Linked DNA regions of Notamacropus eugenii. The protein of the gene in region 1 purifies or fractionates together with the protein of each later gene. This does not show direct contact. Links are inferred from orthologs where the notes say so. Each region holds a gene or a part of one and is shown in the gene's direction. Other genes may lie near its edges.

Region 1 (7,088 bases):
ATTCTTCTCCTCAGTCCTCCACTTTCTTCCCTCCCAAAAATATCCATAGATTTATTCTAACAAGTCTCACAAGTATTGTTAGCTTTTAGGTAAGTAGCAAAACTTACCAAACACCACCAAGAAATAAAAGTGCTTACAAATCCTTTGTTGTTCTGAAGAAAGAAATTTTAAAATGTTGTGGCTCCCCTAAGGGTTAAAGGAGTTGTTTTTTTGGTCATTCCTTCATTTAGTAAAGGTTTCCTGAGAATCAATGCACAAAGTATTGGGCTAACTTATAAGAGATCACTTAGAGTCAACACAGAATAGGACAAGATCCCTTTCCAAAATGGACCTTCTAGTATAATGGGATAGATAATACACTTACAGAAATAACCTTCTTTTTGACCCTTTGTTTATTGAATTTTGAATGGGGAGGGGGATGGTCTTGGTTAAGAATTCAAGAAAAGCAGGTCTCTGAAATCCTCAGCCCATAACAATTAGGGCAACTAGGTGATGAAAGGGATAGATGGCAGGGCCTAGAGTCAGGAAGACCAGAGTTCAAATATGGCCTCGGATACTTACCGTCTGTGTGACCTTGGGCAAGTCACTTAGTGTGCCTCAGTTTATTAGAAAAGGAAATGGCAAACCACTCCAACATCTTTGCCAAGAAAACCCCAAATGGGGTCATGGAAGAGTGGGACATGACTGAAAATGACTCAACAACAAATGATAATTAAGAAAGAAAATAGAAAATCTGGGCCAGTAAGGAGCTGGTATTATAGAAAGATGCCAGCTCACTATGATAATCAGTGTGATCTTCAAGAAACACAGGAAATGTGCTATCCTGACACATCAGCTGAGAAGTAATGAAGGGAATGGGTTGAACTAAAGTTGAGCTATTCTGACATTACTCAAAGGGAGCCAATTTCCCCCACTCTCCACCCTACATAAGCATCATAATGGAGTTTTATGACTTAATGAGACTTCTTAAGAAGGCTGAGACTTTCCCATCAAGTTGGCTTTAAGACAAGGCTCTTTTCCAAGGTAAGATTACAAAATTCATTGAGTTGGATTTCACTCTATTTTTACCTAGTTCATAATTTTATACTTATAAAACAACAGGGAGGAAGCATAGTACCAGAGGAAACACTGGCTTTAGAAAAGGATGAACTGGATTTGAATTTAAGCTCTGTGGGACAAATCATTTAAACTCTCTGGGTCTCGGTTTCCTCTTGTGAAAAAGAAGGGATGTATGTATTGATAATGCATTTCTGCTTATTGTTAATGTAATTTTGCTTCTTAATGGGACGATCTTTCCCATCCATTAAGCCTGAGTCACATGAGTCTAAGTCATATGGAACAGGAAGGGTAGAACAATAAGAGGTGGAGCTAGAGAAAAGGTGAGAGGAAGTTAATCAGAGAGCAATCAGAGCTGGGAAAGGCTGCAACTAGTCGGAGTGGGAGAGCTCGTTTGTGATTTGTTTAAGAGACCTGGTTTGTGGGAAGTCTAAGGAGGGAAGGCTTAAGGATGGTAGTGCCCCCTGCATTGTTAGTGTGTATAGATTTCTTGGTTACTGTGATGGATTTGGCTTTCTGGTGCTGGGGATTTGGATTTTTGGTGTCTGAATAAATGTTTTGGTTCTGTCTTCCATGTGGAGAGTCTGTTGTATTTCGAGATTCAGAATTGCGCTAGCATATTCAGGCTGCCATAGGCGCTGTGAATATCACATTGGCGCTACAAGAGATTGGTCTAGAATCAAGATTCATAGATTAGGGATTCTTCAGTATGAGTGTGGTGGACCTTCCATTGGCAGTTTGGTAAAGACTATGGGGCCCTTCTCTGAATAATATTCTCAAATACTTGAAGGAAATGTTAAATTTTCAGTAAAAATTAAAGTGTAATTTTTTTTTGTCAAGTTCCCCTAACTGTAATTTCTATCCAAAGGGGACCAAGTACCCCAGATTTGATCCTATACTCTAAATGATGTCTAAGGTCTCTTCCAGTTCTAAGAACATGATCCTATGACATAGAATTTCCCTTACAATCACTATAACATTTTAGAAATTTTATTTACCATTAATAAGACATTTACAGTAAGAAAAAAAATCATTTGCAAAGTGACATTTTACATATATATTCAGGGTATCTTTCTGCACAGAGGGCAGCTTCTACATTTATCACAGTTTTCTTATGTCAGCTTGTCAACAAAAAGGAGGACTATTATTCATATGAGTCTATCATCAAAACATATAGTACCATTTGCAGTTTGGTTTCATTATTCTGACCCATATGCTGTATGTAATAACACCAGGAGGAAACCATTTTGGCTAATTTTTATATGTGGCAGTTAAATTCTTTTGTGACACACTCTCCACTAAGCACCAAATGGAACATAACCTACCTTACTTTCTAGGCTGTGAGAACCAAGATATGGATGAAGGAAGGGATCCCTACTTCAAAAGCCAGATCTTTGGAATTAAAAAATCTTGCAAAGATCATCACAATTCTTTGTGGGTATGAAGAATAATATCTATTTAAATTCAAAGACATGCATTTTTGCAAAGAAACTGCCAGAGGGTTTTGGAGCTAGAATGGGTCTTATGGAAGATCTAGTTTATTACTTTGGAAGACTGTGTGTGAAATGTGAATTTGGAGACAAAGGGGCCAAGTTTGAATCTTGATTTTTTTTTTTACTTACTACCTGTGACCAATGTGACGATGGGCAAGTCTCAATATTTCTGGAATCATTAATTTCCTTATCTTTAAAATGATGCAGTTATACAAGATGGCTTCTAAGGTCTATACTTTTAATGGGCTAATTTCTTGGAGAATAGAGAATAAATCTATGATTTCCTTGATATAAGGAATTCTTACATGGAGGAACTTCTAGGTTGGTACCTTCTCTGCAATTTCTTGTCTTCCAGAGTTGCCTAGCAGAAGGAGAGGTTAAGTATCCAGCGTCCCCCTTACCAGTATGTCAGCATGAGGACTAGAACCCAGGGGGTTATAACTCTAAACCCAGGATACTTTCCACCAAGCATCCAGTAGGATATGTATGAGATTATTTTACTTTAAATTGAACTAGGGCTGGGTAGTTCTTATCATGAATATTTTAAAACAATAGGTGCTTTGTGAATGGAATAAATGAACACTAATTTTCACATTAGTTTTGCCATATCAATAACGGCTAATAAGTTAAAAATGCTAAAATCTCACAAAACATATGATGATTATATTATAATTATATTATAATATTATATATTAAGATTAAAAAGCCCATTTGAGCAACAAAGGGCTACAAATGAAATCAACATTTTCACTCATTGGACTGGCTTTGGCCATGCACTGGCTCTTTTAACTGCTTCTGAGGGTTAAAAATATGTCTAAAAGTACTAACAGTTTGCATCCCAGATTTTGAATTACATCTACTGGCTGAAAATGCTTGTCTTTTTTGCTTTTCTCATCTCTCCAATTTTCCTCCTTTCCCCCTTCTAATTTTCATCCCCCCCCAACAAAACATTGAGATGAATCTCATTCCATCTCTAACTTTCCATTTAGAAAATGCTTTCTAGAACTGGAAAGACTTGGAGGGGATTCTCAACTTGGGGGGGCTGTGAATTTGGATTACATTTTTTTTTTGATATTTCAAAATATTTGGATTCCTTTGTCATGTTACATATCTTATTTTAGGCATTTACAACAAGATTCTGCAAAGGAGGCTTTGCATAGGCTTTGCCAGGCTGTCAGTGAAATGAGAAAAGGTTAGGCACTCCTGGATGGGAGGCCCCCTGAGACTGGAGAGGATGGTAGTTCTGCAGAGCTGCGAGCCTCAGGACTTTAAGTCAGGAAGGTGTCTTGTTTGCTAAGACGTCATGCACACTCACAAGGCACTTCCCCCACGCGTGTGGATATTCCCCTAGTGTATCTGGGCACACTGCTCTGCTGCCCTGGACAGAGCCCTTCCATCTCAGAGGAGAACGCCGGCCTTCTCTGCTCTCCTCCCCCTTCCCCTTCCCTCCTCCCCCTTCTCTTCTCCCCCTCCCCCTCCCCCTCCCCCTCCCCCTCCCTCCTCCCCTTCCCTCTCTCTTCTCTCCTCCCTCCCCCTCCCCCTCCCCGCTCCGGCCGAGTCCCCTCCCCTCCCCGATCCCGGCTGACTACTGGCCGACACGCCCTACGTGCGAGGAGCGTGGAAACAATCCCGGGGGCGGGGCTTCCCGGCCCTCCGCGGCGCTCTCCGCCTCTGGGCCGCCAGCCCGCTCGGCTCTGCCCCGCTCGGCTCCGGAGGAGCCCTCCCCGGCCTTCCTCCCCGGCTGCCGCCCGGCTCACTTTGTTCTCCGCCTTTGTCCTCGGCTGCGCCAGCAGGTGGAGCAGCCGCGAAGCCTCCGGAGCCCGTTCGGGGGAAGGGAGCCCATCTTGCTCTCCCGGAGCAGGAGCTGGAGGAGGAGGAGGGTCAGAGCTCAGCGTGCAGCCAATCGGGGCCCACGCTGCTAGTTCGCCGAGCAGAATGGGCTGTAGTTGAGGGAAATAGCAAAGCTGCAAAAACACTGTGGAGTTGTTTCCCGGTGTAAATACAAAAAGAAGAAGAAGGGGACGCGACGACGAGGAGGGAAAGCCGACCAAAAGTTTCCCAAGTCGCCGCCGCCCGCCGTTGGCCCGGGGCCGGTGCTGGAGCGGGGGCTGCGCCCAGCCAGAACACGTTGGACTCGGCGGCGCTGCAAGAACACCCCCTTCCTATTGTTTGTGCGGGGTTCCTCTGCCTCTCTCAAAATATGGCAAAGGTTCAGGTGAACAATGTGGTGGTGCTGGACAACCCTTCTCCGTTCTACAACCCTTTTCAGTTCGAGATCACGTTTGAGTGCATAGAGGATCTGTCGGAAGGTGAGTAGCGCGGGTCCCGCCAGGGGGGCTCCGGCCCGGGGCGCTTCTCCGCGAAAACTTTCCCCAGGCCTGGCGGTTCTTTTCTTCTCTCCCTCCGCTCCTTCCCAGCCTTAGCCTCCGCCGCATCTCAGGGATGGAGGAGAGGAAGGAGGAGCAGCAGGAGGATGGGCTGCTGCAGACCTGCGGCTTCCGAGGGGCCGGCGGGGCTTCGGCCGGGGCGCGCGGCGGCCGCTGCCCCTGTCCCTGCCCCTGCCGCTGCCGGAGGGAAACTTGGAGCGGGTGCGTTTCGCTACTGTGCCCTTCGCCCCGGCGGGGAGACCGAGGGGGAGCGCGGGGAAGCCGCCCGGGTTCCCACCGCTGCCTTTTCGCGAAGCCGGGCTGAAGTTGCAAGTAACTTGTTTGAGTGGTGGTAGCCATGTTGTCAGCTTTGTCTGGGTGTGGGAGAAGGGTTAACGGGAGGAGAGGAGCCCCGCGGCCCCCCGCGAGCCTCCGCGCCCCTCGGCTGCTCCCACGCGGGGAGCTGGCTCGGCCGAGCCTCCAGCGGAGACACCCGTGAAGGAGAGGGGGCAAGACCCCCCTGTCTGCACGGCCTGGGACCGGGGGGAGCGGTGGAGAGGAGGCTTTTTAAAAAAAGAGCTGAGCCTGGTGTGTGCGCGTGTCTGCTCGCCGGAGAGTTCGAAAACGGAGCCATCTTTTACCCCCGGAGCCCCGGCGTCCCCCGGGCACCTGCCCACCTCCCGACTCCCACTGGCCAAGGCCAGCACTCGCTTCAAAGTTGCACTACTTCATTCCGGGGGCCCTGGCTCCTCCTAGCCTAAGCAGAGCGGCAGGAAAAGCCGGGGCAAGCCTTGTGCCTTCCTCTCCGGCTTCCTGAGTCGAGTGGGAGGCGGGCACAGGCTCGGGCATCCACACGCTCCCTCCCTCGGAGCTCTTGCCCCTGCCCACCCCGGCGGAGGGCAGGGTGCCAGGCAGCCTTCCCCGGGGACTCTGACAGCCGCACAGAATTCGAGAGGCTCTGGAGGGAATCACCTCCACGCAGGATGGCCAGGACAAGAGGGACTCCGGGATGCTCGAGGAGAGCTCTCTGCCAACGTCCGAGCGCCATCAAGGCTAGTTAACTGTTAGCACTAATAACTCTGGGAGTAATCATTTTACAAAACTCTTAAAATGACTTTAGGAGCAAACGTTTTCCTGGAGGTTTCAGCACGCTCCAGAGTTAGGTGGAGCGCCCTGGCAGGACTCGCCGCGTGGGCTGTGCAGACCGGGGGAGAGCGCCGGAGCTCTCCCGGCCACCTTGGGGTGCTGACCCCATCGGCAAACGCGAAGCGAACACTGCCCTTCCGCAGACTCGTAGTGAGAGGACAAGGGGGTAAGGGAAGACACGTTTGGAGTGCAGGCTTGAAGTAGGACCATAGGATTCAGAGGCCTAAGGGAGCCCTAGGAGGAATCATTTAGGCCAGCGCCCCCCCCCTTACAGATCAGGAAACTCAGCCCAGGGAGGTTAAGTGACTTGTTGTAGTGAGCATTTATTTTAGGGGCTTAAAGTATTTTATTTTTGAAAGAGGAAAATTTCATTATATTTATTTTCATCTGTATGGTATGCAGAATATATACCATTTCAGATAGCATCAAATTTACCTTATGGGTCTTTTAAAAAATGTTCTCGAATTTTTTTGTAATTTTTAATTTCCAAAATGTGAAAATACTATTTCAGATTTGTTACTGATGTACTACATTGTAGGTGCTAAATTTTAATTGAGAATTATTTTGAATTTCTCATGTGGACACATCAAAGTAAACTTCATAAAGTATCTTTTCTCTTGATTATTAACTAACATTTCCTGATGTTCTCAAACTAGTTGTTAATCTTTGTGTACAGCTCTTTGAACTTGATGGATCAAGAAATGGGCCAGGTTTTAAAAGTTAACCATTAAAATAAAGCTAAATAATAGCAAAACACAGGATTGCTTTTCCGTTTTCTCATTATTCAAAAGTACCTTGTTCATTTTGGACAGCTGTAGCCTCTTAGCCACCATCAGCATGAAGTATAAAGCAAATGAACAGGTTAAAAAGGGGGGTGCAGGGAGGAATTGTCAGGAATAAGTGTTACTTATTAGTTCAGTATGAGTTCCTACGTCATAAACATATTTTTGGTGGTGCCTCCTACTTTAGGTCTCAACTTATAAGGATTATAGGAGCTCAGGACATGAATGAAGAGCCTCTCTAGGTC
Region 2 (7,739 bases), on another chromosome or scaffold:
TTGGGAGGCCTTGGGAGCTGACAGGGCTCTGGGTGCCAGGGGCTGGGGGTGAGATTGACAGTGACTGGGGGACAACTGGCGGGTACTCTTCCTTCCTGCAGAATTAACATTCGGTTCTACCCCCTGGAGCCTTGGCAGATTGGCAAGAAGGGCACGGTGATGACTTTTCTGTAAGCAGCCCAGAGATGGTGCTGAGGGACCAGCCCCCACACAAACCAAGGATTCTCTGTAGGACAAGCAGAATAAAGTGGAGCCCTGTGTTTGGTTGAGCACTGACTCCTTTTTCCCAAGCCCAGAGGTGGAGGCTGATGGGGTGGGGGTTGGCTGGAGGTGTTCCTGAGAAGGTCCCATCCATGGTGAGGTCGCCAGCAGAGCACTGCCAGGCTCCAGATCCCTAACTAGGCACAATCTCAGCGAGGGAACAGCCATCCTCAGGGCTTCCACCATCCTGGAGGGCGGCTTGGCACAGACGGTTCAGATGGACTGACTCTTCCCCTCTTCCCTTGGGGAAGGACAGTAGATGTCTCCACACTGTCCAAAGCCCTGACTGTTTGTATCTGTAAGCACCCCAACATACACAGGGGGGCCTGCTGTCATAGTTTCTTAGATCTGCATTCATAAAAGGAAAGGCAACTTTTGAAGGGTTAACATTCACTTTAACCAAGCACATGTATCATTCACCTAGTTCAGGGGAGTCAGCACATTGAACTTCAAAGAAAATGCACAGAAATCAAAGATCAACAGACATGGCTTCCTCTGCCTGACCATAATCAATACATACATCACAGTTCAATAGACAGGTTCAACTGTTTGACCATAGTTGCCAGAAAGGGAAGCACCTATATCTGGGTTTTCAAGGTTGGGGGAGGGGGTGTTCTTTAACTGCTTCCTAGAGTCCTCTTCTCTCCAAACAAACAGTTTCAAAAACTAAGCCCCAAAATAAAACCACACTGCAGTGTCTTTAGAGCCAGAGGGCATCACATCCCTTGAGAACCTGTGCCTCATTAATTAACAAAAGGCCTGGACCTTCCTACAAATCTTCCCAGGCCCTACAATGGGTTAGAAGAAAGATCCTCCTTAATCACTTTATTCAGAGGCACTTTTAGTAAAACAGAAACAGCAAAGATTCCACTGGGCTTGGCCAAACACTGCTCAGCCCTGGGCTAGTAAATGCAGAAAGGTCAGGAGTGAACCTTGAGGGTAATGTCCAGTAAGCTAGAATCTGGGCCCATCCTTGGAGCTCATCCACAATCCTCTGGAGGCCTTGGTAGAGCCCAGGAAGCTCTTGTGAGGGGGATTGTGCAGTTGTGCCAAAAGCTAGGACAGTGTCCCAGATTGGGCCTGGGTTGCCTCAGTTTCCTCTTTTTCTTCCTCGTGAAACTGCCCCCCATGGTTTTTGTTCATGCTCCCATAGCCTTTTCTCCATCCTCCTCTTCCTGGTGGCCTCTCTTGTTGTCTTCACTAGTCCTCCCCTTTCAGTCTCTGTGATGAGGTACAAGCCCAAGTCAAGACCTTTTTCCCTTGGATGAGGAGGGCTTTCGTCCCATTACTCTGAAGGGCCCCAGGAAAGTCTGGCCTTTGGGGGGGAGGGGGCTCCTTGGATTCCACTTCCATTTCTCCCAGCCTGGATACTCCCTATCTTCTATTTAGCATTCTTTTGATATCTCTCCCTTTGATCCTATTACCAGCCACTCCCATCAAGATCCTCCCTCCATCTGTATTCACCCCAGGGTACCCTTCAATCCCCCACCGCCCCCATCAAGACCATACCTGGGGCCCCAGACTAGTTGGCAGCACCTGGATTCTTCCCTTCACCCCAGGGTACTGGTCGATTCCATCAAGACCTCTGGATTGCCCCACCTGCTTCTAACCCAAGCCCTCCATTGTCTGATGTCTCCTGATTGCCTCTAGCTGTTTCCCACCCTCGACCAGTCACCCCAGTCCCATTGAGGTCCTCCTTGGACTTCTCCTCAAGACCCTTCCTAAACCCCTCCTCCCATCACCCTAGACTTCCAGACCACCCCCAGATCCCTCCAGTCATTTCTGTATTTAAGTTTGTTGACCTGAAAACTTTATTAAGAAAAGGCAGCAGGCTAAATGCATACATTTTATGATTTAATTAATTAATTGATCAATTCCCTATTAAAGACAACGGTAACATAATGCATTATGGAGCCAGAAATGTTCTGGCTACCCAGTGCAGAAATCTTCTGACTTATATACATCTTGCTGTGAGAAAGAAACTCTCCTAATTAAGCAAACCATAAATTCAGTAAGACAAGACAATTAACAAAGCAATGTTGGTCACGCCTTGGGATTCCAGGCTGGATAAACATATGTCTCGGTGATAAGGAAATCCCACCACTAGTGAGTGGCAGGCTTCCTGCCCTAAACATAACTGACATAGGAAAGGGTAAACAAAGTTCAATAGAAATTACGACCTAAGATGTCTGTGTTTTCTTTACCATTAACATGCCATAACATAGTGTAGGTCTACAAATATTAAGATATGGAAAACGTCCCATTATTCAAGATAGTGTCCCAGGTTAAAGGTCTCCTTAAGGAATGTAGAGTCAGCCTTGGCTGGCTTTTGCTGACATAGGAAGAGGCACTCTCTGAGTTTGCTTCAGAGAGAACAAAGAGATTATTCCAAAATTTTATATTAAACATTATCAAGTTCCATCTTGCCTTCATGAAGGTGCTTAGGTTTAGTCCAGCTCTGACTCTGTCTAGCTGAGTTTCTATCTGACAAGCGTTACAAATGGTTAGGCTCCTTAAGAGTCAACCCAAGGTGGCGAATCTTTAATAAACTTTGTTTTCTTTGGCTTTAAGAAGGCTTGAGTCGAATTCATTTGAGCAGGACTTGGTGTGTTGGTATTTTGGGGTCCATAGCACCCTTGAACCTCAACATCTGCTCTTTGTGCCTGGTCCCTCCTTCCCCTCCTGTCATGAGGTGATGGTGTTTGCCAAGGCTCAGGCTGGAGCCCTCCTTTCCTTTCTACCCTCCCCCCCAAGTCTTGCCCATTCTCCCAGCTGGCATCTTCTGTGCAAATGACCCCCTAGTCCATCGGTGCAGGTTTCATCTCTCCAAACTCCAGCATCTCCAGTTGACGCCTTCTACTCTGATGGGGCCCAAGTTGACTTATGGCAAAACCAGAAAACATGGCAACAGGCCAGAGCTTTGGGCTCAGCTGAACAGGATGGAATGAAGTAGGAGGGAGACAATAAGACTTTCTTGTACTTGGGTGGAAAGGAAAGATCCCCTTCACAGGAATGAAGTGGGTGACACTGGCCCAAACAGTGGTGGGCTGGCTCCCGGCAGTGTAGGCTGTGGCAGCCTCAAAGCGAGCCCCATCACAGAGAAGAAGCATGGCGGGCAGGGGGGCATCCCAATGTACCCTGACCCTGGTGTACCGGGGGCCTCTGGATGGCAACCAGCATGGGGAAGGGCCTGGGCATCCTTAACTTGCAGAATGATTGGAGATAATAATAACTAGCGTTAATGTAGCACTTGAAGCTCTCCAAGGTCCTGGACATATCTCATCTGATCCTCACAGCAGCCCTGTGAAGGATGCACTCTCTCCATTTTCCATACGAGGAAGCTAAAGTGCCCACGGGGAGTGACCTGCTCAGGGTCATACAGCTAGGAAGTGCCTGAGGCGGGATCTGAACTCAGCTCCTGGTGACTCCAATGCAGCTCTCCTACTCACTGCAGCCCCTTGCTGCCTCCAGCTGAGACAGCTCAGAGGGACCACGATGGCTGCCACGCGGATGAGGGGCCACACCCCCAAAGAAAACGGAAGGGGACCCCAAGGCAGGGAGGACGGGGCCTCCAGTGAGGGTGCAGGCTGCAGAGAGCAGGCGGGCCATGGCGGGGCTGGGCACAGGGCACGGAAGGGTGTGGCAGGAAGGTGTGATGCCCGGCTCGGCAGGTCATTCCGTCTCATCTGACTCCTGACCCCACGGGGTTTCCTGGCCACTTCGTTCTGCAGCTCATTTGACAGATGGGGAAACTGAGGCCACCAGGGTCAGCAGCGCTCCAAGCTGGCTTCGCGCTGGGGCCTTGAATCAGGACCGGTGCCCTACGCACTGGGCTGCCCGGCTGTGAGCCGTGGGTGCGGGAGATGCTCCAGGGCGGCCGAGGGACCACGTGCCAGCCTCAGCCACGCCCCCTGGGGGGGCTGTGAGGGCGGCAGCTCCGGCCCGCTCCGGGCTGGTCTACACCATCTCCCAGCCCGGGGAGAGGGTCCTGCGGCCAAGCCTGAGACCGCCAGGGGGCGCCCCGGGGCGGGGGAGGTCTGACGGCGCCCCAGGTACTAAGAGGGGAACGGAGCAGAGCGCCCCCTTAGCAAGGCGGGGCCGTGCCTGAGGTCACTTCCTGTCTTGGCCCCTCCTGCTTCCGGCCCCCTCCCTCCAGCAGTGTGTGACAGACATGGGGCCCCGCCTTGGGGGGAGGGCTGCTTTTCTTCCCCGCCCAGTGAAGTCACGTCCTGTCTTCTCCCCGCCCCCTTTCTTCCTTCCGAAAAGAAGCTTCCGGCAAGCTCAGCTTTACTTCCGTTCCTGGACCCGCCCTCTGAGCTGGCTCAGAGGGGAAGCAAAGAAGAACGCCCCTCCTTCCTGGGCTAGGGTGGCGATGACGTAACCAACAGGACCCACCCTTTCCCCCAGTGATTGGCTCAAGGCATCCGGAGCAACAGCCAATCGGCGCGCCCGTTGTTGGCCGACTCCCGCTCCGGCTTTTGTTCATCCTTCTGCGCCTGTGCTGGAGGAGCGTCGGAACCTGTTGTCAGGACACCGGGCGGGTGAGGCGGGGGTGGGGCTAGTCCGGCCCCTACCCGCCGGGCCTCACTTTCCCTCGGAGTTAGTAAGGAGTCAGTATCTGGGGGCCAGGGCAGGGCGGTGCTCAAGGGGTAGAGAAGGGACGGGATGGGGGGCTGTCCCTGCGCGAGCCGCAAAGGCGCGGAGGCGGAGTGCTGAATTCTGTCTCCTCTCCATCCCCGCCCCCCAGCTGTGCCCATCCCTGCCCCGTCCCCCGTCCTTCCCCCTCAGACCGGCAGAGGCCGGTCCGGGAAGGGGGTCTCGGGGTCATCGGGAGCTGCGAGTGTGAGCGTGTGTTACGGCCCCCCCGGCGGAGAGGAAACTGAGGCAGGGCTGGGGGGCGGGGCTTCGGGCGCACCAGGCTTGCTCTGCCTGGTGCCCACGGGCTCCTTGGCAGGCTGGGCCCCAAGCGCCCGCCGGGTCCTTGGACGGGAAGCGTGTCAGGCCTTTCTGGCATTCCTGGGAGGCGCGGGCTGGGCTGAGTCCTCCCCGTGATGGGAGGGGAGCTGTCCTGGGGGAGGCTGTCGGGGAGGGGGGGTGTCCCGGGCGGAGCAGTCCCGGGTCAGGGGCTGTACCGGGGGGAGTCCTCGGGGGAAGTCCTCGGGGCCTTCGGCAGCCCCAGCTCCCATCCTCAGGGCTCTTGTTTACTCCTAGATGTGACCCCCTGCTGGGCAGGGGCGTGGTCCAGAGCAAAGACTCGGCTGCTGGCCCTCCTCGAAGATGGTGAGTGAGCTGGGACTCTGGGAGGGGCCGTTATCTTCCCGCCCCTGACCCTCTGAGACCGTGGCTCCAACTGTGGATGGGGTGTGCCCTCAGCTGGGCGCTCCCCCTAATGTTGGGGCTCCCGGAGCCCTCGTCCGTGGGCGCACAGCTCCCCCTAGGCGCCCCCGGAGGTCAGACCGGGCAGTCTGGGGCCCCTGTCTTTGCTGGCTCTGGCCTGGGGAGGGGGGGGCAGGACCACTGTGTCCCAGGGCCCCACAGGCTCCCTTCCCCGTGCCCTTTCCAGATCCGCATCGCAGCCTTGAACGCCAGCTCCACTGTGGAGGATGAGCACGAAGGGACCTTCAAGAGCCACAAGACCCAGACCAAGGAGGCACAGGTAAGCGGGCGGGGCCTGGCCCTGCTGCCCCTTCTGGCCCGACTGCTCCCACTGACCAGCCGGACAGCTCCCACTGACCGTCCAGTCCTTGTCTGGCCCTCAGGAGGCGGAGGCTTTCTCCCTGTATCACAAAGCCTTGGACCTGCAGAAGCATGACCGCTGGGAAGAGTCGGAGAGAGCCTACCAGGAGCTGCTGGAGATCCGCCTGCTGCGGGAGGTGAGCCTGTCTGGGGGAAGGGGGGGAGGGGGGAGGGAGGGGGAGAGGAAAGGGGAAGGGGAGGGGGAGGGGGGGAGGAGGAGGGGGAGGGGAGGAGGGGGAAGGGGAAAGGAGGAGGGACCCCCATTGCTGCCGCTGTGCACAGTCTGCTGCTTCTGCCCAGGCTGGTCTGAAACCACGCTCCTCATTTCTCCAGCACCTCTCACAGAAACCTGCTATAAATATTTTTGTACATGTGGGTCCTTTTCCCTTTTCTATGATCTCTTTGGGATACAGCCCTAGAAGTAGTTTTGCTGGGTCAAAGGGGTCTCCAGAATGATAGGATCAGCTCACAACTCCACCAACAATGCATTAGTGTTCCCATTTTCCTGTATCTCCAATATCATATTTATCATTTTCCTCTTTTATCATGTTAGCCAGTCTGATAGTGAGTAGTTTTGATTTGCATTTGTCTGATCAGTAGAGATTTAGAGCATTTTTTCATGACTACCTAGCTTTAATTTTTTCATCTGCAAACTACCTATTCATATCCTTTGAGCAATTATCAATTTAGGAGTGACTTGTATTCTTATAAATTTGACTCAGTTCTGTATATATTTTAGAAATGAGGCTTTTATCAGAAACACTGACTCTAAAAATAATTTCTCAACTTTCTGCTTCCTTTCTAATCTTGGTTGCATTGGTTTTGTTTGTGCAAAAACTTTTTAATTTAATCTAATTAAAATGATCCATTTCTCATTTCATAATATTCTATCTTTTGTTTGGTCATAAATTCTTCCCTTCTTCATAGATCTGACAGGCAAATTATTCTTTGCTCTCCTAGTTTGCTTTTGGTATCACCCCTTATGTCTAAATCACATACACATTTTGACCTTATCTTGGTTTACGGTGTGAGATGTTGTTCTATGCCTATTTTCTGCCATACTATTTTCCATTTTTTCTAGAAGTTTTGTCAAATAGCGAGTTCTTGTCCCAGAAACTGGGAATTTTTGGGTTTATCAAATAGTAGATTACTATAGTCATTTACCATTGTGTCTTGTGTACCTAACTTATTCCACTGATCTGCCTTTCTTTTGCTGCTTCATAATACAGTGTTAGATCTGGCGCAGCCTTTACATTTTTTCCCCCTGCTAATTCTCTTGATATTCTTGGCCTTTTGTTTTTCAAGATGAATTTTGTCATTTTTTCTAGCTCTATAAAATAATTTTTTTGGCACTTTGGTGTGGCGCCAAATAAGTAAATTAATTTAGGTACCACTGTCATTTTTATTAAATTAATCCGAGCAGTTGATATTTTTCTAATTATTTAAATTCTTCTTTATTTGTGTGAGAAGTGTTTTGTAATTGTGTTCCTGTAGTTCCTGGGTTTTCTTGGCACATAGACTCCCAAATGTTTGGTACTGTCTACAGTTACTTTAAATGCAATTTCTCTTTCTGTCTCTTGCTGCTGGGCTTTGTTGCTAATATGTAGAAATGCCAATGATTTATGTGGGTTTATTTTATGTCCTGCAACTTTGCTAAAGTTGTTAATGATTTCAAGTAGTTTTTTAGTGGATTCTCTTAAGTATGTATCACATCATCTACAAAGAATGATAGCTTTCTTTCT
Region 3 (7,334 bases), on another chromosome or scaffold:
TTAAATGATTCGGTTCATCCAACAATTATGTCACTTTATTTTCTAGCCTACACTGTTAAAATGGTTTACTACCTCTGGGGTTCTAATCAAATCAGAGACATACTGTGTCATGTGCACTTTTGTTTTCCCTCTAAAGTCTTCCTTATCTTTAAAAACACTGACTACAATTTACTAACAGTACTAACTACAGTCATCTTTCTCCTCCCTTTCATTGAAGCCATGGAGATTAAATAACTTGCTAACGGTCAATGGTAGTAAAGTAACAAAGTCAGGATTCACACCCAGGACCTCTGACTCTAGAGTTTCTACTACAGTACTTCCCATGTAATTATAATAATAATGATGATGAAGACAGGTACATATGTAATAGGAACAGAAAAGTGACTATGAGGACCAGGAGTAAGAGGAAAATAAAAGAAAATAAAATAATCCAGATTCATCAAGGAATAAATGGTTCAACTGAACTGATTAATGAAAATTGGTTTTGCTTTGGGCTTCAGAAAAGATGTCTACATGCAATTCCTCTACATACTTTTCTTGAATTCCTGAAATCTGGTTTCTGACCTCATCACTCAAATGAAACTTCTCTCTTCAGCTACTATTGATCTCTGGGGGACCAGATCTAATGGCTTATTCTCACTTTTCATCCTCTGTGACTTCTCTGCAGCTTTTGACATTGTCAGTCATACTTTCCTCCCATGAATTCTCTTCTTTCTGAGTTACTGTGACTCTGTACTCTGCTGGTTCCCTTCCTTCCTGTCCAATCTCGAACTTTTGCTGATTTGCTGAACCATCTCCGTTCATTAACTGTGGGAGTTCCCAGAGGTTTTATTCTGGGTTCTCTTCTCTTTCTAGACTCTTCTCCTTTGATGATCTTATCAGTTCCCGTGGGTTCAATTAACATCTCTATGCAGATGACCTCCATATACAGTCCTAATCTTTCTCCTGAGCTCCATTTTTGCCTCATAGAGTGCCTGTTAAATATTTTTAATGGGATGTTCCAGAGGCATCTCAAACTTAATACGTCTAGAACCGAATTCAATACCTCTCCCTCCCACTCCTAAATCTACCCCTCTTCTGAATTTCCCTCTTACTGTCAAGGACATTATCATCTTTGTAGTCACCCAGGTTCATAACCGTTGTCTCATCATTAATTCTTCACTCACAAATATCCAATCCATTGCCAAATCTTGTTTATATCTCTGCACCTTCTCTTTCATGCACGCAATTCTTTCCACTTATTTAGTGACCTCCCTAAATCCATTCCTCATCACCTCTGCCTGGACTACTGCAATACCCTCCTATTTGGCTTCCTCGCCTCAAGGTGTTTCCTACTCTAATCCATTCTCCAGAGCTACCTGTGATTTTCTTAAAGGGCAGGTCTTGATTATACTAACCTCCCTCCTCCACCCCTAATCAATTAAAGTGACTCTGCTATTACCCTCAGGATCATGTATGAACTCTGACATTCCCATATCTCCATAACCTCCCCCTTCCTGTGCTTTTAGTCTTATTCATAATTCCCCTTCCAGCTCTCTCTTTGATCGTCATACTGATCTATTTGTTGTTCTGAACATGCAACATTGCATCTCCTATCTCCCTATCTTTGCACTGGCTCCCTCAAGGCAGGAAGAAATTCCCTTCTCACTTCAGCTTCTTGAAGCAGAAAGCAAGGAACTGCTTTCCTTCAAGACTCAGCTCAAGGGACATCTCTTACATGATGTCCTGATCCCCCACTTCCAAGAGCACTCCTCCTCCCAAATACCTTGTATTCTTCTAAATTTCATGTTGTTTCCCCTATTAGAATATAGTTTCTTTTAAACAACTTCAAAAGTCTTGGGAACTCTGATCTACATGATGGTACCCACAGCTCCAGGGGATTTATGATGAATCATGCTATCTACTTCCAGAGAGAGACAATTAATTCAGATTATAGTTTGATGGATAGATGGATAGGTAGATAGATAGATGATAGCTAGATAGCGAGACAGAGAGAGAGAGAGAGAAAGAGAGAGAGAGAGAGAGAGAGACTTGGCTAAGGTGAGAATTTGCTTTGCTTAACTACATGTATTTAACAAATTTGTTTTTCTTGCTTTCTCAGTGGATGGTGGAGGAATGGATGTCAGAGGAGAAAATTCAAAGAACTGAAAGTAAAATAAAATTGAATGTTTTTTTTTAAAAAGGTAAGCTCTTTAGGGGCAAGGATCCTTTCACTTTTATCTTTGTATCCCTAGAGTTTAGCACACAATGCCTGGAATATGTGTTTAGTAAATGCTTATTGATTGATTGATTTGATCATTTTAATTTTTCCTGTTCCTTAGAAAGCTGATAGTGAGGAGTCAGGTAAGAGGGATAATGGGAAGCTATCAACCTGAAAAATAATACCTGATGAAAAATGTGTGCTGATCTGGGTTGATGGGGAAATTTGTTTTTTTGTGATGAAAACGATAAGTCAATGGCCCTGTGTTGAAACCCGTCCCTTTCCATTCATCCCTGCCCTACTTCTCTATACAGCTTTTAATTTTATGACCCTGGATGAGTCATTTAACCTATTCGTTTCCATTTTCTCGTCTGCAAAATGATGATAATGTCTGGTGCTTACCTAGCACAGTTCTTGTACGGATCAAATCAAAAGGTAAATGAAACATTTTGTGAACTCCACAGTATTATATTTAACAAGCATTTATTAGGTGTCTATGGTGTGCCAGGTACTGTGTGAGGAACTAGGTATAAAAAGGTAACAATTTCAGTTATTTCATTATTGTCATTTGTTACTAAGCTCCTGTTGGCTTCTCTATAGTAAACTAAGCTTACTTTTCTTGGGTTGCTTACTTATAATGAGATTTAGGCTTCGTTGCTTTCTACCTTACGCTTAGAGTCACTGAAAGAAACTTTCTACTTGTAAACATAAAATATTGTGAAGGATGATTATATCAACAGCTTTGCTTTGCCTTTCTAAATTATCCATCAGTAATATTTTATTGGGTATTCAAGTGGTTTTAGATTACAAGTCACTGAACAGTTTTTTTTTAATATTCTGTAACCAATTATCTCAAAATTTTCTCCCCCAACCAGAGGACCTGCATGTGCAAGAGTGTTTATTGCTCAATCACAGATTCTTAAAGGAGACTCATTTAGGTCATTTAGTCTGTGTTCTTCTGGGTTAATGCCAAAATAATCTTCAGGATTTGGGACCAAATAGTGAAATGACTAGCAAAAATTAAAGGTGGCTTTTTTCCTTCAGTGTTGTAAAGCTGAGTGTAGGGGATGGAGCTGTGTGAAAGCTATTTAAAAAAATAATTACTACAAACCTCCCTAAACTGATGTTTTCTATCAAAATCTTACTGCTATGAATTGGGTACAAGGAGATGTGAAGGGGTAAGGAAAAGGGGAACAAGCAGCTTCTGCTTAGCATCAAATAGCTTTCATGTAAAAGTAGTGGCAGGGTCAGCAACACACTAGCCAGGTGGCAACTCCAGGCACCGCTGCCATAAATAAATAGTTATGCACGGGTGTCACACAGCCAGACCTGGATACAAAGCATATGGGGGAAAAAACATCCTGATGTAAACATTTGGCAGAAAGCTATATGAGTACAGGACGGTCTCTATTTACTGGATTTTGTGACAATTAAAAAAATAAAAGGAAAGGGAATGAGAAGGAAACTTTTAAACACGAACTGAAAAGTCCCCCAAATTTCCTCAATACTTAATCTAAAGGGAACCTGACAAGCTAACATCTGTGCTTTCTGTTTTAAGTATCATTCAACCAAAGTTCAAGTACTTTCTTCCATTAAACAAAACTTCTGAAAAAAAAAAAAACAGATCCATCGAAATTAATGCCCCCACCCCCACTACTTTCCCAGTAAAGTTAAGTGTCAGTGTCCAGAGGGCTATTTAATTTTCCCTAAGATTTGAAATCGTAGATCAAAGCGCTAGAAGGGACCTTGGAGGTCATTTTAGTCCAAATCCCTCATTCTAAAGACTAGAGAACTGAGGTGGAGAGGTGAAGTGACGTGGAAGGTCCCTCAGGTGGGATCTCACCCCCTGGCTTTTAACTGCAAATCCAGCCCTGTCACTGTGCCAGTGAGAAAAGTTGACTTGTTAAACTGTGACTGAGAAAAAGCCGGCTTGTAAATTAGTCTGAGAAGCCCCGGTCGATGCCTAGATTCCTAATACTGGCTCGACACTAATTTTCCAAGATGCAAAGTCAGTTTCTCCGTTCTGGCTGCTCGATGTTGGTAGGGTCCTCAACGCTCCTTAAAACCGAGGCACCTGTGGGGCCATCCTCAGGTGCTGGGGATTTCTCTAGGCGTCGCTCTGCTCTCCCAGCCAGGCTCTGGGGGGAGTCCCTCCTCACAGCCCTGCTCCCCACCTCCCCGCACACCCCGAGCAAAAGCGAACTCGGACTCCAACGCGTTAACAACCGCTTTCCAGGGCTCGGCTGAGCACCGACTATCCTGTCCTGCCATCAAGGCACTTTCTGGGCATTTTTTCCCCCTTAAGGAAGTTCTGGGCGCGGGGTTCAGAGTGGACACTTCCCCGAGCCGCCCAAGCCCAGCCCAGGAATGAAAGATGGCAACAGCGCGGGCTTCGAGGTGCTGGAGTATCTGGCAGCCAGGCGTCTTGCAGCATTACTTCCTGGTTGCTTTTCCCTTAACTGACATGGCGCCTACTGGCCTTCACTTGCGCGCTCTGCGGCTGCTCAGAGGGCAGAAGTGAGGGCAGTCCCGCGTAAAGCCCGCGCTACTGCTCCTGCCGCCGCCGCCACCGTGGCCGCCACCGCGGCGAACCTGGGGATCGCTGCCGCGTGCCCCTCCTCCCCGCCCCCGGCGGTGCCGCGTGCTGCGCGGAGGGCGGACGGGTCCCCAGGGTGCGCGGTGCCAGCTGTCTCCAGCCCCTTTCGGGCTGCAGCGGCCCCTGGGTGTCATTTCACTCCCCCAGCCCCTTCCCGGGCCAAACATGATATTGACCAAGGCCCAGTACGAGGAGATAGCTCAGTGCCTCGTGGCTGTGCCACCTACCAGGCAGAGCCTGAGGAAGCTGAAACAGAGGTTCCCCAGGTAAGTCTCCCGCTCTTTCTGCAGGGTCTCCAGGTGCTACAGCACTAGCGGGCACGGACAGTGCTGGGGTCGTAGGGACGCCAGGTCATTCGTTGTTATAGGTAGGGATTATTGGCAGTGTCACCATACCCTTTATCTTCCACTGAAGATCCCCGAAGTACTGTAAGCGCTTTCTATCCTCAGGGCTACAAAAGAGTAACCACTCAATAAACCCTTCCTGGCGAATGAATGAATGAATGAATGAATGAATGAATGAATGAATGAAGAAGAGAAATTTTGGAGGCAACAAGAAACTCACTGAAATATATTAGAGAGTAACACAATCAATACTCCCGGCGTTGTGGGGGTCTCGAGGGATACAGTAGCAAAAGTGAAACTCCCTCCAGGAGTTTACCAACTAGCTAAGATTTTACACGTGTGAATCTGTAGTTGATACAATGTAACTGTGAAGGCATTTGCAGCTGGAAATCTGAAAGACTTCTGGTAAAGTTGGTTCTGGAGCTGATAAATGAAAGAAACCAAAAGATTCTAAAAGGGAGAGGTAAGGAGAGAGTGCATTCCAGGCATTAGGATTTAGCAACACAGAGTATCTTGCTCTCTGTGCTCAATACAATCTGGTGGCTTTCTGGGACTGTCATGCCAAGATTGTCTTGTGGTTATAGTCTCTTAATTCCTTCAGATAGACTTGAGAGCTGAGGATATCAGCTTTAGTTTACTAATAAGGTAGATATGAATAAGCAGATGCAGCAACAGCTTGCCATAGTAGGTAGCTTGCTGATCTTAGAGTCAAGAAGACCTAGGTTCCAGTCCCATTTGTGACATTAGTTGTGTGGCCCTGGGCAAGTAATTTAACCTCTGTCCCTGTAACTCTCGGACATCTCCTAAATCATAGATTGGATATATCTGGTGAGGAAGGAAATTTCCACAACAGGTGTTGCCTAGGAGGAAATCTCAGATCTTGTATTCCTATATTTTTGTATGACTCTCTCTCCTCCCCACCTCCTACCAAATAATAATTTTGCCTGCGTTTAATTTCCCAGCCACTGTTTCTTGAAATTAGAATAACAGAGTTTGTAATACCCTAAAAATAATCTTCTTCAACTCTGATTTTACAAGTGGGGAAATTAAGACCAAATTTACCCAAGATTTCATGGTTAGTAAGTGGTAGAACTCACAGTAGAAGGCATGCTTCCTGACAAGTCAAGTACAGCCAAGTCACTTTAGTTGCTAGATAAAGATTACTGCTTTTCCTTGTGTTGCTAAGATAATTAAAATTTATCTGTATTCCTTTATCTTGTACCTACCCTTTCTCACCAACTTATTTTGTTTTTTATATTTTAGACACTCAAGTTTGCATTCTAGATAAATCATACTCAACTTTTTATTTTCTCACTCCCCCTCCATCACTATCCAACTAGTTGCCAAATCTTATCCACTTTACCTTTGAAACATCTCTACTATCTGTCCACTTCTCTTTATTCTACAATCACCATCCTACAGGGGCTTATCATGTCTCCCTTGGACCACTGTTATAGTCTCCTAATTGGTCTCCTTATGTCCAATCTATTCCCCCTCTAATCCATTCCCCATACAGTTGCCAAATTGATGGTCCTAAATCATGTCTAACCATGATGCTCCTCTGGTCAGGGAGATTAGAGGCTGCTCAGCCCTTCTATACTGAAACACAAAGTCCATTGGCATGGATAGCCCTTCATAATTTGGCTTCATCCTGTGTTTCTTTGTCTCTCAGTGTCTCAGACACACAATCCCCCCCCCCCCCCCCGCGCAACCCCAACATCAAACTGGCTATTTGACATTCTGTCTCTTGCCTTTCTGCCCCTCATGCCTGGAATTCTGTACCTCCTCCCCTCTGCCTCTTGTAACCAGTAGCTCCCTCAGGAAGCCTTTTCTGATTTCCCCCTAGTTGTTCCTAATCCTCAGTCACTGTGTGTTTATTTTGTATCCTATCAATCTATTTTGTATCCTTTCATTCCCCTAATTAGAATGTAAGATCCTCAAGGGCAAGAGAATTTCATGTTTTGTATCAGCATCCTAAGTTTTAACCACACTTCCTAGCACTTAGTAGATACTTTAAAAATGGCTTGATGATTTAATTTTAAAAAACAGACCCACTTCCCCCATCCCATTCTTTCTTAAGGCATTATTATGCTATTGGAGGGAGAGAGTATTTTCCTTTCCTAGACCTTATTATACTAGTATGATTAGTGATGAAAGATGCTTGTGCAATTTATCTTCAAGTTATGAAAATTAA
Region 4 (7,329 bases), on another chromosome or scaffold:
CAGGTCAGCCCGCTGCCGTCCGGGGGGCCCTGCCCGGGGACCCCTGACACCTCCATGGCGCGTGGAGCGAGGGGAGGGCTGGGTATTGCAGTGGGGCAGCCTTGGAGCGAAGCTGCGAACCTCAGGTGCCCACCCGCCCTGCGGGTGCTGCTGGTGCTGCTGGGTTTGTCCCAGTAAGGTCTTGTCTGGCATCCTCAGGCAGGCCGTTTCACCCAGTAAGTCTCTTATACTGGTAGGAGCTAGCACGGACATCGTGCTTTAAGGTTTACAGAGGGCTTTACAAATACCTCATGTTGTCCTTGCATCAATCCCAGGAGGCAGGTGCTATTATCAACACTTTACAGATGGGGAAACTGAGGCTGACAGCTGTCTTGTGATCTGCCCAGGGTCACACAGCCAGTAAGTGTCTGAGACTAGATTTGAACTCCACTCACTCTATCCACTCTGCTGCCTTGCTGTCAGATACTTCCTTTTCTCCATATCAACCCTCTTTCCTATGTCCTCTAGTAAATCCTGCCTTAGGGCAGGATTCAGAGCTTGTGGAAACATGGTCTCATATTTTTTTGTCCTCTTCCTTTCTAGTCCTAAAACCAGAAGGTCATTTTCACTCTGGAGGATGCTCAGGAAATTGGACTGGTTATCATAAAATCAAGTTTTCCCTCCACCCTGTTCCTGAGAAGATCTTGAGCAATCCTATCTGTCTTTCATAGGTTGAACGCCTGCGTCAGGCCATTGAAGAATTATACTACTTTGAGTTTGTGGTGGATGACCTGCCAATTCGTGGCTTTGTGGGCTACATGGAGGAGAGTGGTTTCCTTCCACATAGTCACAAGATAGGACTCTGGACTCATCTGGATTTTCACCTTGAGTTCCATGGGGATCGAATTGTCTTTGCCAATGTCTCAGTTCGTGATGTCAAGCCCCATAGCCTGGATGTGGTACGGCCTGAAGAACAGCTGGAACTCACTCACACTTACAGTGTGCACTGGTCTGAGACTACAGCAGAACGTCGGGGTGATAGACGCCATGGTGATGATGGTGGCTTCTTCCCTCGAACACTAGAGATCCACTGGCTGTCTATTATCAACTCTATGGTGCTGGTTTTTCTTCTGGTGGGATTTGTAGCTGTCATCCTCATGCGTGTCCTTCGTAATGACTTGGCCCGCTACAATTTGGACGAGGAGCCAAACTCTGGCAGCTCCACTGATGACTTTGACCAGGGTGACAATGGCTGGAAGATTATCCACACTGATGTTTTCCGCTTTCCCCCATGTCGTGGTCTGCTCTGTGCTGTGCTTGGTGTGGGTGCCCAGTTTCTGGCCCTTGGCACTGGTGAGGGAAACAGAATTGGCTAAGGATATCTCCTTAGGGAATGGGACTATTGGGCCAGCTAAGGAAGACCTAGGTAGTGAGGCAATCTAGGGCTCTTCTTCTAAGGTGATGGGGAGGTGGCATGGCCTAGGCATCTCAAGTAGTGGTACTCTCTTGCTGAGAAGTGTCTGGTTCCCCTTCCTGAAAAGCAGGAGAGCTGCAAAGCATGTTACACCTATGGGTCTACAGGTTCAAGACAAAAATTGGTAGTTTCATTGAAGGTGTAGGGTGGATAAGAGGGAACAAATTCTTCTTTTGTAGTTCCTGTGTTTGAGTGAGGGAAAGGCTGATTCCTGTAGGACTTCTGGGGTTAGATAGGGAAGATCTAACGCAGGCTTCACACTGTTACCCTGTAGGCATCATCGTCATGGCACTGCTGGGCATGTTCAATGTGCACCGCCATGGCGCCATCAACTCAGCAGCCATCTTGCTGTATGCTCTGACCTGCTGCATTGCTGGCTATGTGTCCAGCCACTTCTACCGGCAGATTGGAGGCGAGCGTTGGGTCTGGAACATCATCCTCACCACCAGCCTCTTCTCTGGTGAGGCTCATACTCACCCTGGGTTGGGCCAAAATGGGCTTCAGAGGATGGTTGGCATGAGGCAAAATTGTATAAAAGTCAAGTTTGTTTCTCATGGTGTCCTTCCCTCTAGGATCCCTCCTAGTGCTTACATATTTTATGATAACTACTGAGGGCCCTTCACAGCAATACCTCAAATCAGGCCTGCCCTCCTAGGGCAACAGTCCTAAACTCTGAACTTTTCTAGTCCTTAGTTCAGGAGTAGGGAACCTGTGGCCTGGAGGCTATATGTGGCCCTCTGGTCCTCAAGTGCAGCCTGTTGACTGAATCCAGACTTGACAGAACAAGTCCCTTCTCCATCCTTTCCCTAGTTCAACAAAAATGTATTGCACACTTACCTTCTGTTAGTGATGTCATAAGTACTGAGATCAGTAGAGGAGCACAGATTGGAACTGTACAGAACCATACAGTAGTAAAATAGAAGTTCCCTGCCCTCAAAATCCTTACAGTTTGGTACATCTAAAGTCCAATAATCTAATCTAAATTTATTAGTGCCATGTCCCATTTCTACTGCAAGGCCTCATTTTTGATATTGTAATCATGCTGTTACAGTGAATAGAGGCTTTGACTTGGAGTCAGGAAGACCTGAGTTTAAATCCTGCCTCATTTACTAGCTCTGTGATCTGAACAAGTCACTCAACCTCCCTCACCTTTAGCTCCCTCTCTATAAAATGGGGATAGTTATAGCACCTACTTCAGAGTTATTGTAAGTTATTGTAAAACTAGATAACATGTAAGAGGCTTTGCAAACCTCAAAAACGTCATATAAATACTAGCTCATTATTATTAACAGATGTAGGGGAACATTAATCTCTCAGTATTTGTTTTGAACAACACCCTAAACTCAAAGGAATGTAATACTTGCAGGTGTGAATGTGATAGCAGACTTTGCGGGTAAGAGGGAAGAATTCAGGAACGTTCAGTTCCACTCACATCTCTTAAATCATCCTATTAGGCAGGCTTGGCCCATTCCTGAGAGTTACTGGTGAGTGGGAGGCAAGACCAAGGAGAAGCAGAACCGGTTGGTGAGGGTGGAAGTCTAGGGCTAGAGTGGCAGGTTGGCTCCCCCTGTCCCCCTTCGGGTCCAGTTGAAGTGGGTCTCCCCCAGAATGTGGCTTCCCATGCTGATCTCTGCCCTCCTGGGGGCCCATCCCTGCAGTGCCTTTCTTCCTGACTTGGAGCGTGGTGAACTCTGTGCACTGGGCCAACGGATCCACGCAGGCGCTTCCGGCCACCACCATCCTGCTGCTGCTCACGGTGTGGCTCCTGGTGGGCTTCCCTCTCACCGTCATAGGGGGCATCTTTGGTAAGAACAATGCCACCCCTTTCGATGCGCCCTGTCGGACTAAGAACATCGCCCGGGAGATCCCGCCCCAGCCCTGGTACAAGTCCACCGTCGTGCACATGACCATCGGGGGCTTCCTGCCCTTCAGGTATTTGCGCCTCCCACCCTGGGGCCCTCACTCCCCACGCGGAGGGTCCTGGCACCCCCCTGGCACGCGGTTGTCCCCTCCCCACGGGTGGGCAGAGCGCGGCCCGGCCGGCCCTGACGCCCCTCTCCTGGCAGTGCCATCTCGGTGGAGCTCTACTACATCTTCGCCACGGTGTGGGGCCGCGAGCAGTACACGCTCTACGGCATCCTCTTCTTCGTCTTCGCCATCCTGCTGAGCGTGGGCGCCTGCATCTCCGTGGCGCTCACCTACTTCCAGCTGTCGGGCGAGGACTACCGCTGGTGGTGGCGCTCCGTGCTCAGCGTGGGCTCCACCGGCCTCTTCATCTTCCTCTACTCGGGCTTCTACTACGCGCGGCGCTCCAACATGTCGGGGGCCGTGCAGACGGTGGAGTTCTTCGGCTACTCCTTCCTCACGGCCTACGTCTTCTTCCTCATGCTGGGCACCATCTCCTTCTTCTCCTCGCTCAAGTTCATCCGCTACATCTACGTCAACCTCAAGATGGACTGAGGCACCCGGCCCTCTGCTGCTGGCACAGCTTGAGCCCGCCCCGAGCGGGCCCGGGGGCGGGGCGGGGGCGGGGCGGGGCGGGGCGGGGGCGGGGAGGGGCTCCCCCCTGCTGTGTGCCCCGCGAGCCGCCGCCTCCAATCTAGAAACGTCTCTATAGAGAAGGACTTATATATTAGAATTTTTAATTTGCTTTTCATTTTGGTTCCGATGGTTTTCTTTTTACAACCGTCACAATAAAGTTTGGTAAGAAACCCTTACGCTGTCCGAGAAGGTGGGGCGGGAGGGAACCGCACGGAGCCGGCGGCTCTGGGCCCCGATCGGGCGGGGGCGCTGCGGGGAGGCCGCGGCCTCCCTCCGCGCACGCAGCGCTCCATCCTCCTGCCGGAAGCAGGGCGGGGAGTCGCGAAGGGCGACGCCGGGGCGGGGCGTGCGCGCGCCACTTCCGCCGGAAGCGGGTGTCCGTGTCTCCACGTGCGGCCCCTCCCCCTTCCTCCGCTGCCGGAGCTGCAGCCGCCTCCGCTGCCATGGAGTCCGGGGAGCTGGATCGGATCCTCCGGGAACTGCTTCTGCCGGACACGGAGCGAATCCGCCGGGTACGGGACGGGGCCCGCGGGGTGGGCGGGACCCACGGGCGGGGGACTGCCGCGGCCTAAGACCCGCCGTGTCCGCCCGCTTCTCCCCAGGCCACGGAACAGCTCCAGGCCGCGCTCCGAAAGCCCAGCGCCTTGCCCGCCTTGTGCGAGCTGCTGGCCCACGCGCCCGACCCGCAGGTGAGAGCCCCCGCCACCCCGGGTTTGGGAAACGTGCTGGCCCCCCGCGCACGCCCGACCTCTGACCCCGGGGCACCCGCTGTGGGGGGCTGGTCTTCACGCCTCGCTCCTTGACCCCCCGGGCCCCACCCGCAGAGCCCCCAAGCCTGGGTCCGTCCTGACTTGGGATCCCCTCCGTCATGGCCCGTCCTTCTCCCGTGCCCCCGTGCCCCTCGTCGTCCCCTCCTTCCCCCCCAGATCAGGCAGTTTTCGGCCCTGCTGATCAGGAGGCGCCTGAACACGCGATGGAGGCGGCTGGCGGTGTCCCATCGGGAGAGGTGAGGGCCGCAGGGGGGCGGGGGCGGGGCGGGGCGGGGCAGGAGCGCCCCTGCTGAGTGCTTTCCCCCCTCTTGTGTTCCAGTCTGAAGTCCCTGGTGCTGAGAGCCCTGCAGCACGAGAGAGAGTGAGTACGGGGCTGCCCCTTGCCAGCCGGCCTGGCGCATCCTCTGCGGAGGCCCTCTGCTTCTTCCCAGCCGGCCTGGAGCATCCTCTGCCCCTTGCCAGCCGGCCTGGCGCGTCCTCTGCCCCTTCCCAGCCGGCCTGGCGCATCCTCTGCCCCTTGCCAGCCGGCCTGGCGCGTCCTCTGCCCCTTCCCAGCTGGCCTGGCGCATTCTCTGCGGAGGCCCTCTGCTCCTTCCCAGCCAGCCTGGCACATCCTCTGCCCCTTGCCAGCCGGCCTGGCGCATCCTCTGCGGAGGCCCTCTGCCCCTTCCCAGCCGGCCTGGCGCATCCTCTGCTCCTTCCCAGCCGGCCTGGCGCATCCTCTGCCCCTTCCCAGCCGGCCTGGCGCATCCTCTGCAGAGGCCCTCTGCTCCTTCCCAGCCGGCCTGGGCATCCTCTGCCCCTTCCCAGCCGGCCTGGCGCGTCCTCTGCCCCTTCCCACCTGGCCTGGGCATCCTCTGCCCCTTCCCAGCCGGCCTGGCGCATCCTCTGCCCCTTGCCAGCCGGCCTGGCGCATCCTCTGCCCCTTGCCAGCCGGCCTGGCGCATCCTCTGCCCCTTCCCAGCCGGCCTGGCGCATCCTCTGCCCCTTGCCAGCCGGCCTGGCGCATCCTCTGCCCCTTCCCAGCCGGCCTGGCGCATCCTCTGCCCCATCCCAGCCGGCCTGGCGCATCCTCTGCCCCTTGCCAGCCGGCCTGGCGCATCCTCTGCCCCTTCCCAGCCGGCCTGGCGCATCCTCTGCGGAGGCCCTCTGCTCCTTCCCAGCCAGCCTGGGCATCCTCTGCCCCTTCCCAGCCGGCCTGGCGCATCCTCTGCCCCTTCCCACCTGGCCTGGGCATCCTCTGCCCCTTGCCAGCCGGCCTGGCGCATCCTCTGCCCCTTGCCAGCCGGCCTGGCGCATCCTCTGCCCCTTGCCAGCCGGCCTGGCGCATCCTCTGCCCCTTGCCAGCCGGCCTGGCGCATCCTCTGCCCCATCCCAGTCGGCCTGGCGCGTCCTCTGCCCCTTGCCAGCCGGCCTGGCGCGTCCTCTGCCCCTTCCCAGCTGGCCTGGCGCATTCTCTGCGGAGGCCTTCTGCTCCTTCCCAGCCAGCCTGGCACATCCTCTGCCCCTTCCCACCTGGCCTGGCGCATCCTCTGCCCCTTCCCAGCTGGCCTGGCGCATCCTCTGCGGAGGCCCTTTGCTCCTTCCCAGCCAGCCTGGCACATCCTCTGCCCCTTCCCAGGCAGCCTGGCGCGTCCTCTGCCCCTTCCCACCTGGCCTGGCGCGTCCTCTGCCCCTTCCCAGCCAGCCTGGCGCATCCTCTGCCCCTTCCCACCTGGCCTGGCACATCCTCTGCCCCTTCCCACCTGGCCTGGCGCATCCTCTGCCCCTTCCCACCTGGCCTGGCGCATCCTCTGCGGAGGCCCTCTGCTCCTTTCCAGCCAGCCTGGTGCATCCTCTGCCCCTTCCCAGTCGGCCTGGCACATCCTCTGCCCCTTTCCACCTGGCCTGGCGCATCTTCTGCGGAGGCCCTCTGCTCCTTCCCAGCCAGCCTGGCGCATCCTCTGCCCCTTCCCACCTGGCCTGGCGCATCCTCTGCCCCTTCCCACCTGGCCTGGCGCATCCTCTGCCCCTTCCCAGTTGGCCTGGCACATCCTCTGCCCCTTTCCACCTGGCCTGGCGCATCCTCTGCAGAGGCCCTCTGCCTCTTCTGCAGCTCAGGGCACGTCCCCTGGAAGGGAAGGTGGTGGGGATCCCCTCTAAGAGAAGGAAAGCAGCTGGGTCGTGAGCTTCATGTTAGAGAAGGAGATGGGGCGGTGGTAAAAGTGCTGAAATGTCTCGCCGTGGCTCTGACCAAGGGCGTTTTACATAGTAGTAGCTTTTCTCCGTGCTGTTGGCCCTTTTTTTATGGCTGTTCTCCGACCGACAGGCACAGCGTGATCCTCAGCCTGGCCCAGTTGTCGGCAACCATCCTGAGGAACGAAGGCCTGGATGCCTGGCCTCAGTTAATGCAGCTGCTCCAGTGCAGCACTCGAAGCCCCTGCATCCCTGAGAGGGAGGTACGGTTCATGGAGTTTGGGAGGGTTGGGACCCAGTCAAGGCTTGGGACAGCAAAGGGCTCAGTGTGTTGGGTAACTTTTCTTGGGCAGATGGGACTACTGCTCCTGAGTGTGGTGGTAACCTCAA

Evidence for each region.
Region 2: the proteins of ASF1A (region 1) and CABIN1 purify together in Homo sapiens (affinity purification with mass spectrometry; 4 studies listed by BioGRID and IntAct, counting the BioPlex papers as one, with this or other methods). This does not show direct contact. The link is inferred for Notamacropus eugenii from reciprocal best matches to the Homo sapiens genes ASF1A and CABIN1.
Region 3: the proteins of ASF1A (region 1) and CDIN1 purify together in Homo sapiens (affinity purification with mass spectrometry; 3 studies listed by BioGRID and IntAct, counting the BioPlex papers as one, with this or other methods). This does not show direct contact. The link is inferred for Notamacropus eugenii from reciprocal best matches to the Homo sapiens genes ASF1A and CDIN1.
Region 4: the proteins of ASF1A (region 1) and IPO4 purify together in Homo sapiens (affinity purification with mass spectrometry; 4 studies listed by BioGRID and IntAct, counting the BioPlex papers as one, with this or other methods). This does not show direct contact. The link is inferred for Notamacropus eugenii from reciprocal best matches to the Homo sapiens genes ASF1A and IPO4.

What each region holds. Positions count from the first base shown.
Region 1 is NC_092873.1:200,819,386-200,826,473, forward strand, and holds the start of ASF1A (histone chaperone ASF1A), read left to right. Parts: upstream 1-4,072; 5' UTR 4,073-4,749; coding exon 4,750-4,858; intron 4,859-5,322; exon of another isoform or gene 5,323-5,924; coding exon of another isoform or gene 5,925-5,967; intron 5,968-7,088. UniProt on the Homo sapiens protein: Histone chaperone that facilitates histone deposition and histone exchange and removal during nucleosome assembly and disassembly.
Region 2 is NC_092875.1:1,491,785-1,499,523, reverse strand, and holds the start of CABIN1 (calcineurin-binding protein cabin-1), read left to right. Parts: upstream 1-4,734; 5' UTR 4,735-4,871; intron 4,872-5,472; 5' UTR 5,473-5,538; coding exon 5,539-5,541; intron 5,542-5,824; coding exon 5,825-5,917; intron 5,918-6,020; coding exon 6,021-6,134; intron 6,135-7,739. Other genes in the region: D-dopachrome decarboxylase-like, read left to right, coding at 102-174. UniProt on the Homo sapiens protein: May be required for replication-independent chromatin assembly. May serve as a negative regulator of T-cell receptor (TCR) signaling via inhibition of calcineurin. Inhibition of activated calcineurin is dependent on both PKC and calcium signals.
Region 3 is NC_092878.1:21,610,002-21,617,335, forward strand, and holds the start of CDIN1 (CDAN1-interacting nuclease 1), read left to right. Parts: upstream 1-4,334; 5' UTR 4,335-4,961; coding exon 4,962-5,062; intron 5,063-7,334. UniProt on the Homo sapiens protein: Plays a role in erythroid cell differentiation.
Region 4 is NC_092878.1:9,093,684-9,101,012, forward strand, and holds the start of IPO4 (importin-4), read left to right. Parts: upstream 1-4,325; 5' UTR 4,326-4,437; coding exon 4,438-4,506; intron 4,507-4,596; coding exon 4,597-4,683; intron 4,684-4,920; coding exon 4,921-5,000; intron 5,001-5,083; coding exon 5,084-5,125; intron 5,126-7,072; coding exon 7,073-7,202; intron 7,203-7,292; coding exon 7,293-7,329. Other genes in the region: TM9SF1 (transmembrane 9 superfamily member 1), read left to right, coding at 1-3, 711-1,332, 1,728-1,913, 3,112-3,385, 3,520-3,913. UniProt on the Homo sapiens protein: Nuclear transport receptor that mediates nuclear import of proteins, such as histones, RPS3A, TNP2 and VDR. Serves as receptor for nuclear localization signals (NLS) in cargo substrates.